Linked DNA regions of Callithrix jacchus. The main gene of each other region encodes a partner of the protein of the gene in region 2 in a complex. Links are inferred from orthologs where the notes say so. Each region holds a gene or a part of one and is shown on either strand. Other genes may lie near its edges.

Region 1 (3,518 bases), on a different chromosome or scaffold from region 2:
AGGAAGAGCTCTGCTGGGCCACATACTGTGGATAAGACAGGAGTCGAGGCAGAGAAGGATTTCTATAACCTCGAGAGTAGCAGCCTTCCCTGCTTCCTATTACTGCTATTCTGAGGGAACTGTGTTGGCAACAGCAGGGTGGGGGCTTCTTATGTGACACTCCAAAATGGGAGTTGGGGGTAGTCTGGGTCTTCAGTCATTAAAATGAACCAGTCACTGTACACATACCAACGAGAGCATTAAATAATATCAAAGTCAGCCAAGCACAATGGCTCATGCCTGTAATCCCAGCACTTTGGGAGGCCAAGGTGGGCAAATCACTTGCGCTCAGGAGTTCAAGACCAGCCTGGGCAAAATGGCCAATCCCTGTCTCTACAAAAAAATAGAAAAATTAGCCGAGCATGGTGGTGTGCACCTGTAGCCCAGATACTCAGGAGGCTGAGGTGGGAGAATCACCTGAGCTTGGGAGTGGGTTCTGTTACTCTCCCCATTTGCTGAGATGTCTAGAGATTAACTTACCCAGGGTTGTGTGGTCAGTAGCCGATCCAGGGTTTAATCAAGTGTTCTCAATCACGTGCGGTCAGGTCATGGACATGGGTCATGACAGTGTCTTAATATCGTTCATGTCAAATTATAAATTCCAGGAAACTGAAACTGATTTTCCCCTATCCGCAGCATCTAACACATGGCCTGGTATATACAGCTGGCGCTCGATAAACACTTACTGGATGAATGATGTGGCCAGAGGCCGTCCTTCCAGGCAGCCTCCACCCTACTCTGCCAACATGGAATAGGTATGGGGCAGCTGGATGTACACAGGAGAAACATACCACAGGTGCCCACATCACAGCTGGGCAAGCTGGACAGCACTATGGGATAACAGTGCCCACTTATCTGGCAGATCAGGCTAGAGGCAAGGAACTGATATACCTTCTCAATGTCCCAGTCCCCGGAGAGCCTAGGGCAGAGGGGATTCCCTGGGACAGAATTTCTAGTGCTCCCTGATATTCCTGTCATGACCCACAAACCAGGAACCCCGTATTTCTCTCTCTTCCCTCTTTTATAAGAAAATCAGGGGCTGAGCTCAGTGGCTCACACCTGTAATCCCAGCACTTTGGGAGCCCAAGGCGGGAGAATCACGAGGTCAAGAGATTACCAGCCAGGCTAACACGGTGAAATCCCATCTCTACTAAAAATATAAAAAGTTAGCTGGGCATGGTAGCACACACCTGTAGTCCCAGCTACTCAGGAGGCTAAGGCAGGAGAAGCGCTTGAACCCGGGAGGCAGAGGTTGCGATAAGCCAAGATCACACCACTGCACTCCAGCCTGGGCAACAGAGCGAGACTGTGTCTCAAAAAAAAAAAAAAAAAAAAAAGAAAAGAAAAAGAAAATCAGATAACACTGTAGTAGGAGTTGAGTGTAAAATCAGAGCATATAGCAAAACTAAAAATAATCCAAGTAATCCCTTAAAAAACAGACAAACAAAAAATAGAGACAGGGTCTCACTATGTTGCCTAGGTTGCTCTCAAACTCCTGGCTGAAGCAGTCCTCCTGCCTCAGCCTCCCAAAGTATTGGGATCACAGGCGTGAGACTGCACGCGGCCCAAGTAATCCTTAAACATTCTCCAAAACCCCACAACTACGCTTTTGGGAATTCCAATAATTAAATTCTTCATTTTCTTCTTGCAGTTCTTCTGTGGCCACCCTTTCTCTGGGATAGTGGAAATGGGGTCTAGTTGATGGAGGTCAGGGCAATGGTGACAAGAAAAATAAAAAGAGGTCTTTCCTCTCTCTTGGGCTTTGTTTCTTTTGCCAAGTCTCTGGAATTGAAGCTGCTGAAGTTACAGGAGCCCGTGACGCTACTGTGCCATGGAACAAAAGACTCTAACCTCTACAGAGCAGACGGAGTGGAGGCCCGCTCCAGCCAGGCAGGTGCTGCCACAAACAGACTATGTGTGGTACCCTCTGACTGCCTGGAGAGACCTCGTGAGCTCTGTGAGGGGCAGGCTGGAGAAAGAAACAGGTGGTGGCCCCCTCCCCGCCAGACCCACCCACAGGGAGGCTGAGGAGCTGCTTACCCCCACCACAGGCCTGGATGAAAAAGAGCTTGGGCTTCCCTCCCAGGCTGGGGCAGCTGGTCCCATTGAAGATGTTCACAATCTTCTCAACTGACACAGGGTATCCATCTGTGCCGTAGACAGCCCCTGGAAACTGCAGGTGGCTGGCCTAGAAGATCAAGAGCCTTGGTTACAACACCAAGAAGCTGGAGTAGGAATCCCACAGCCTATTCAGAGGTTTCATGGGGGCCGAGCATTCGGAAGGTCAAAGCCAGGGGCACTAGGCTAACTGAGACAGAGAAGTTGGTTCTGGAAAGACTGGTCAGCATCTGTTCCAGGGGTCTCATCTCAAACTCATATCCCTCTAGGGGCCAGACAGTATGCCTGGAGAGTGCTGCCTGCGGCCTCTAGACCACTGGCTCTCAAAGTTTGGCCCCTGGAGCAGCAGCATCAATATCACTTGGGAACTTATAAGAAATGAGATTCCCTGGCCCCACCCAGACCTCCTCATCAGCAGTCTGGTCCTCCAGGCCCCTCTGACTGAGGCAGCTCAACGCTAACAGGGGCTGCTTTAAATCAATTCAGCTCAAACCTCAAGTGCACGGAAATCACCTCAAGTTCATGGAAGTCATATTGGGCAGACTGGGAATGAAGAGGTCCAGGGTAGGGCCTAGGAGTCCACATTCCTCACGCGCTCTAGGGACCACATTATGAGAGAAAGGACCAAAGGGAAAGCCCTGCCCAGCCACAGGCTGGAGTTTTACTGGCTAAGGATTCCAGACAGGTCAGGCCAGACCTTTGCGGTTTGTCAAGAGAAACTAGGAATCATAATTTTTATGTGAAATTTGCCAGTTTTCAAAACACTGCACAGACCACAGGGGGACTCCAGGCCCAAGCTTGTAACTGTGATCTGTCCAACTCCTCAACTTAATAGATGAGGAAATCAAGGCCCGGGAAGGGGTAAGGGCTTAGCCACATGACAAACACATGAGTGAGTGTCCTGAGTCCCACCAGCAGCAAGGGGCCTGGAGCAATGCCTTGAAGGACAGGGACAGAAGCTGAGACATCATGTGTGCTGTGCCTGCATATGAACAAGCTCCAGGGGCAGGAGCTTTGTAAGCAGACCTGGTCTCTGCCCTCCCTCTCCCAGAGGGCTTCTCCCAGGAACAATGCCCTGCCCAGGAAGGTGCAGCCAACTCTTCAGAGGACCACATGTCTCCCAAGAAAACAGCAGGAGGTGGGCAGGGCCCCACAGCCCTTTTCCACAAAGCCAAGGGTGTTTTGGATACAGGAAGGGAGAGGGCCCCTGCATGGCTGCTTGGCACAGCTTTTACCCAATGCCTGCCCAAGGAGCAGAGGGAGGCTTCCTACCTGACAGCCGTGAGAAAGGATGACCACCACACAGCAGTCCAGAGCACCGTGGTCCCGCCGCGCCAGCTCCAGCAAAGTCAGCCTCATTT
Region 2 (3,518 bases):
AAATCTTCAGCTGGCCACGGTGGCTCATGCCTATCTATGATCCTAACACTTTGGGAGGCTAAGGCGAGTGGATCACTTGGGCTCAGGTCAAACTCAGGAGTTTAAGACCAGCCTGGGCAACATGGTGAAACCCCATCTCCACCACAAATACAAAAATATTAGCTAGGCATGGTGGTGTGTGCCTGGTAGTCCCATGGGGGACTGAGGTGGGAATATCACTTGAGCCCAGGAGGTTGAGGTTGTAGTGCCACTGCACTCAAGCCTGAGTGACAAAGTGAGACCCTGTCTCAAAAAATAAAAATAAAATCTTCAATACAATGGAAAGCATATATATAAAGAAAATTCAAGACAAAAAATAAACCAGAAAACAGCACTTATTTGCAATATTTATGGAAAAAAATAAAGTCAGATAAAAGAATTTTTTAATGGGTCATGTTACCTTGTGCATCTTGGCACTGGCCATGTGGTAGGCCAGAAAGTTGTACCAATACATACAGTCTTCCTGATCTGGTAAAAGATTTGGCAGCTGGTAATATCTCTGAAACTGAGTGATCATCTTCTTATGTAGATCCTGCAACCCAAATGAAACATTTCAGAAGCCAGAAATAATTCTATAACCTAAGCGTCACAGTAACTTCAGCTTCCAAAGCTATTAAGAATGTACAAAGGCCAGGCTCAGTGGCTCACGCCTGAGGATCACTTGAGGTCAGGACTTCAAGACCAGCCTGGGAAACATAGGGAGATACCCCTATGTTTTATTTTTGACAAAAAAAAAAAAAAAAAAATCAGTCAGGTATGGTGGCATGTGCCTATGGACCCAGCTACTTGGGAAGTAGCTACTCAGGACCATTTGGGCCCAGGAGTGCATGCCAGCCTGGGCAACACGGTAAGACCCTGTCTCAAAAAAAGAATATACAGAGAATCTCCCCACAAGATAATGACTTTACAGTGGAGAAACCTGGCAGATACCACTTTAACCGAATTACCAACATTAACATCACCCATAATAAAACATATCAACACCAAGAGGCTGAGCACGGTGGCTCATAACTATAATCCCAGCACTTTGGGAGGCCAAGGCAGGTGGATCATTTGAGCCCAGGAGTTCAAGACCAGCTTGGGCAACATGGCAAAACCCTACCTCTACAAAAAAATTTTTAAAAACCACCAAGTACTCTCAGGATATGATGCCATGGAGAAAGATACAACCTCATTTCTGTGGTGGTCTTGTCAAATACGTATAACTTCTATCCAGTCAGGAGAAAACATCAGACAAAATCACATTTGGCTATACTGTACAAAATTACTAGCCAGTACTCTTCAAAAGTGACAAGGTCATGAAAGACAAAGACTGACGAATTTTCACAGATTTGAGGAGACTAAAAAAAATGACAAGTAGGGAAACAAGACAATCATGCAATATGGGATCCTAAATTAGCCTGGACCACAAAAAGGACGTGTAGGTTAGTGAACAGTGTTGTATTAATGTTAGTTTTCTGGCTTTAACAATTGTACTATGGTTACATAAAATGTTAACATCAGGGGAAGCTAGATGAAGGGCTTATGCATAGAAACTATCTACTATTTTGTAACTTTTCAATAAATCTAACATTATTTCAAAGTAAAAATATTTTTTTAAAGTGAACTAAGATGCAAGTACCTGAAGCTGGCTGCGATTCTTTTCTGTAAGAAAATCTACTTGAAGATCGTGTAAATAATAACGAAACGACTTTCCATTCCGATCACAGAATAAAAGAGACTTATTTACAAACTCCTGCAGTATGTCTTCAACTTCTTCAGTTTCCATGTCCCAGAGAATGCATAACACCTAGGAATCATTGTATTTAATATGCCGCACAAGTACAATGACCAGGACTACAGACAGGTGTTAACACACACACACAAAAAAAACTGCATCTTAAGGCCCTGAGTAAGAATGTCTTCATTTCCTAAAAAGAAATCCAACTACTCCTCAAAATAAAAAAGAGAAAGAAAAGTCAGATGCTTCTTCAGCTTCACTAGAACCACAGAAATAGGTTAACTCCTGAGTTCAACACAGGGCCCTTAATGGAGGCTAACAGCAGAGGGACTTCTATATCCAACACCCTACCACCTCAGTCCCCTGGGTCTTATCCTTCCAAGGTCCTCTGTAACAACATGCTCAGTACTATATCAAAGCTTACATGCAATAAATACCCAATGATGAGGACCGTTGATCCCATTACCTTTGTAGGCACCTTAACATCCTTGGGAAGGATGGAAAGATCTGTGTAATAATTTTTGATGTTTTCTCTGAGCATTTCAACACTTATAGACATGGCTTCATCTAGAGCCTCATAATCATAAGATGAAGATTTCCTTATTCTCTTGAACTGTTTATTCTGAAGTTGTCTGAGGTAGTACTCCCAGCGATTGGGAAAATCACGTAAAAGTGCACCAATTAAAGATACTACAAGGGGAGAGCCTAAAAAAAAAAAAAAATGAAGTCATTGTGCTAATACCGTCCTATTTTGTCACTACTAAGAATCAACTTACTCTTAAGGAACAATTTCTGCTGCATGTTATCAAAAGCCTCAAGTATTTATCACTCTTGACTTTACTTCTAGAATATTTATTCCAAAAAATATTAGAAATAAGAAAGATTTCAAGGAAGCAAAACACACTGCCATGTATGTACCTACGCAACTGTCTTGCATGTTCTGCTCATGTACCCCAAAACCTAAAATGCAATAAAAAATAAAAAATAAATAAAATAAATAAATAAATAAATAAAAAGAAAGATTTCATTTAATAAATTCCTGATTAGCTTTATTAAGTCAAAATAATATAGATCAAATCTGGCTAAGACATCATTACAAAAAAAAGAAAAAGAAAGTCAGCCTGGGCAATATAATGAGAGCTTGTCTCTACTGAAAATAAAAATTAAAAAAATTGGCAAGGTGTGGTGGCATGTGCCTTGATTGCTTGAGCCCAGAGGTTGAGGCTGCAGTGAGCCATGATGCAGCCTGCACTCCAGCCTGGGCAACAGTGTGAGACCCTGTCTTAAAGAAAAAAAAAAGCATGATTTCATTTAAGCATATTCATCCCAGCATTATTTAGAATAGTGAAAAAATCTTAAACAATGTAAACAATGACAATAACAGAGAAGTGGTTGAATACATTAAGATACATCAATACTATGCCACTGGTAGAAATATTTTCAAAAAACTATTTAACAACATGAGAAAATGCTCAAGATACATAAAAAGGGGAAGATACAGCTGGGTGTGTCAGCATGCACCTGGAGTCCCAGCATTTTGGGAGGCTGAGGTGGGAGGACTGCTTGAGAGCAGAAGGTTGAGACCAGTCTGGGCAACATGGTGAGACCCAGTCCCTACAAAAAAATTTTTAAATGAGTCAGATATGGTAGCCGGCATCTGCAATCCCAGCTATTCAGAAGGCTAGGGCAGGAGGACTACTTAAGCCCAGACATTCAAGACTGCAGTGAGCTGTGGTCACTGCACTCCAGGCTGGGTGAC

What was found. The genes of interacting proteins can lie anywhere in the genome.
Region 1: the proteins of APAF1 (region 2) and CASP9 are in contact, whole or in part, in a crystal structure (PDB 4RHW), measured with the Homo sapiens proteins. The link is inferred for Callithrix jacchus from reciprocal best matches to the Homo sapiens genes APAF1 and CASP9. Residues at the interface, in NP_863651.1 of Homo sapiens: Thr22, Ser23, Tyr24, Met26, Asp27, Ile30, Ser31, Ile37, Glu40, Glu41, Arg44; in NP_001220.2 of Homo sapiens: Asp23, Trp26, Asp27, Leu30, Arg36, Pro37, His38, Glu41, Gln44, Arg45.

The regions. Positions count from the first base shown.
Region 1 is NC_133508.1:52,830,595-52,834,112, forward strand, and holds part of CASP9 (caspase-9), read right to left. Parts: coding exon 3,430-3,518; intron 2,228-3,429; coding exon 2,080-2,227; intron 1-2,079. UniProt on the Homo sapiens protein: Involved in the activation cascade of caspases responsible for apoptosis execution. Binding of caspase-9 to Apaf-1 leads to activation of the protease which then cleaves and activates effector caspases caspase-3 (CASP3) or caspase-7 (CASP7).
Region 2 is NC_133510.1:101,750,657-101,754,174, reverse strand, and holds part of APAF1 (apoptotic protease-activating factor 1), read right to left. Parts: intron 2,465-3,518; coding exon 2,226-2,464; intron 1,829-2,225; coding exon 1,661-1,828; intron 572-1,660; coding exon 440-571; intron 1-439. UniProt on the Homo sapiens protein: Oligomeric Apaf-1 mediates the cytochrome c-dependent autocatalytic activation of pro-caspase-9 (Apaf-3), leading to the activation of caspase-3 and apoptosis. This activation requires ATP. Isoform 6 is less effective in inducing apoptosis.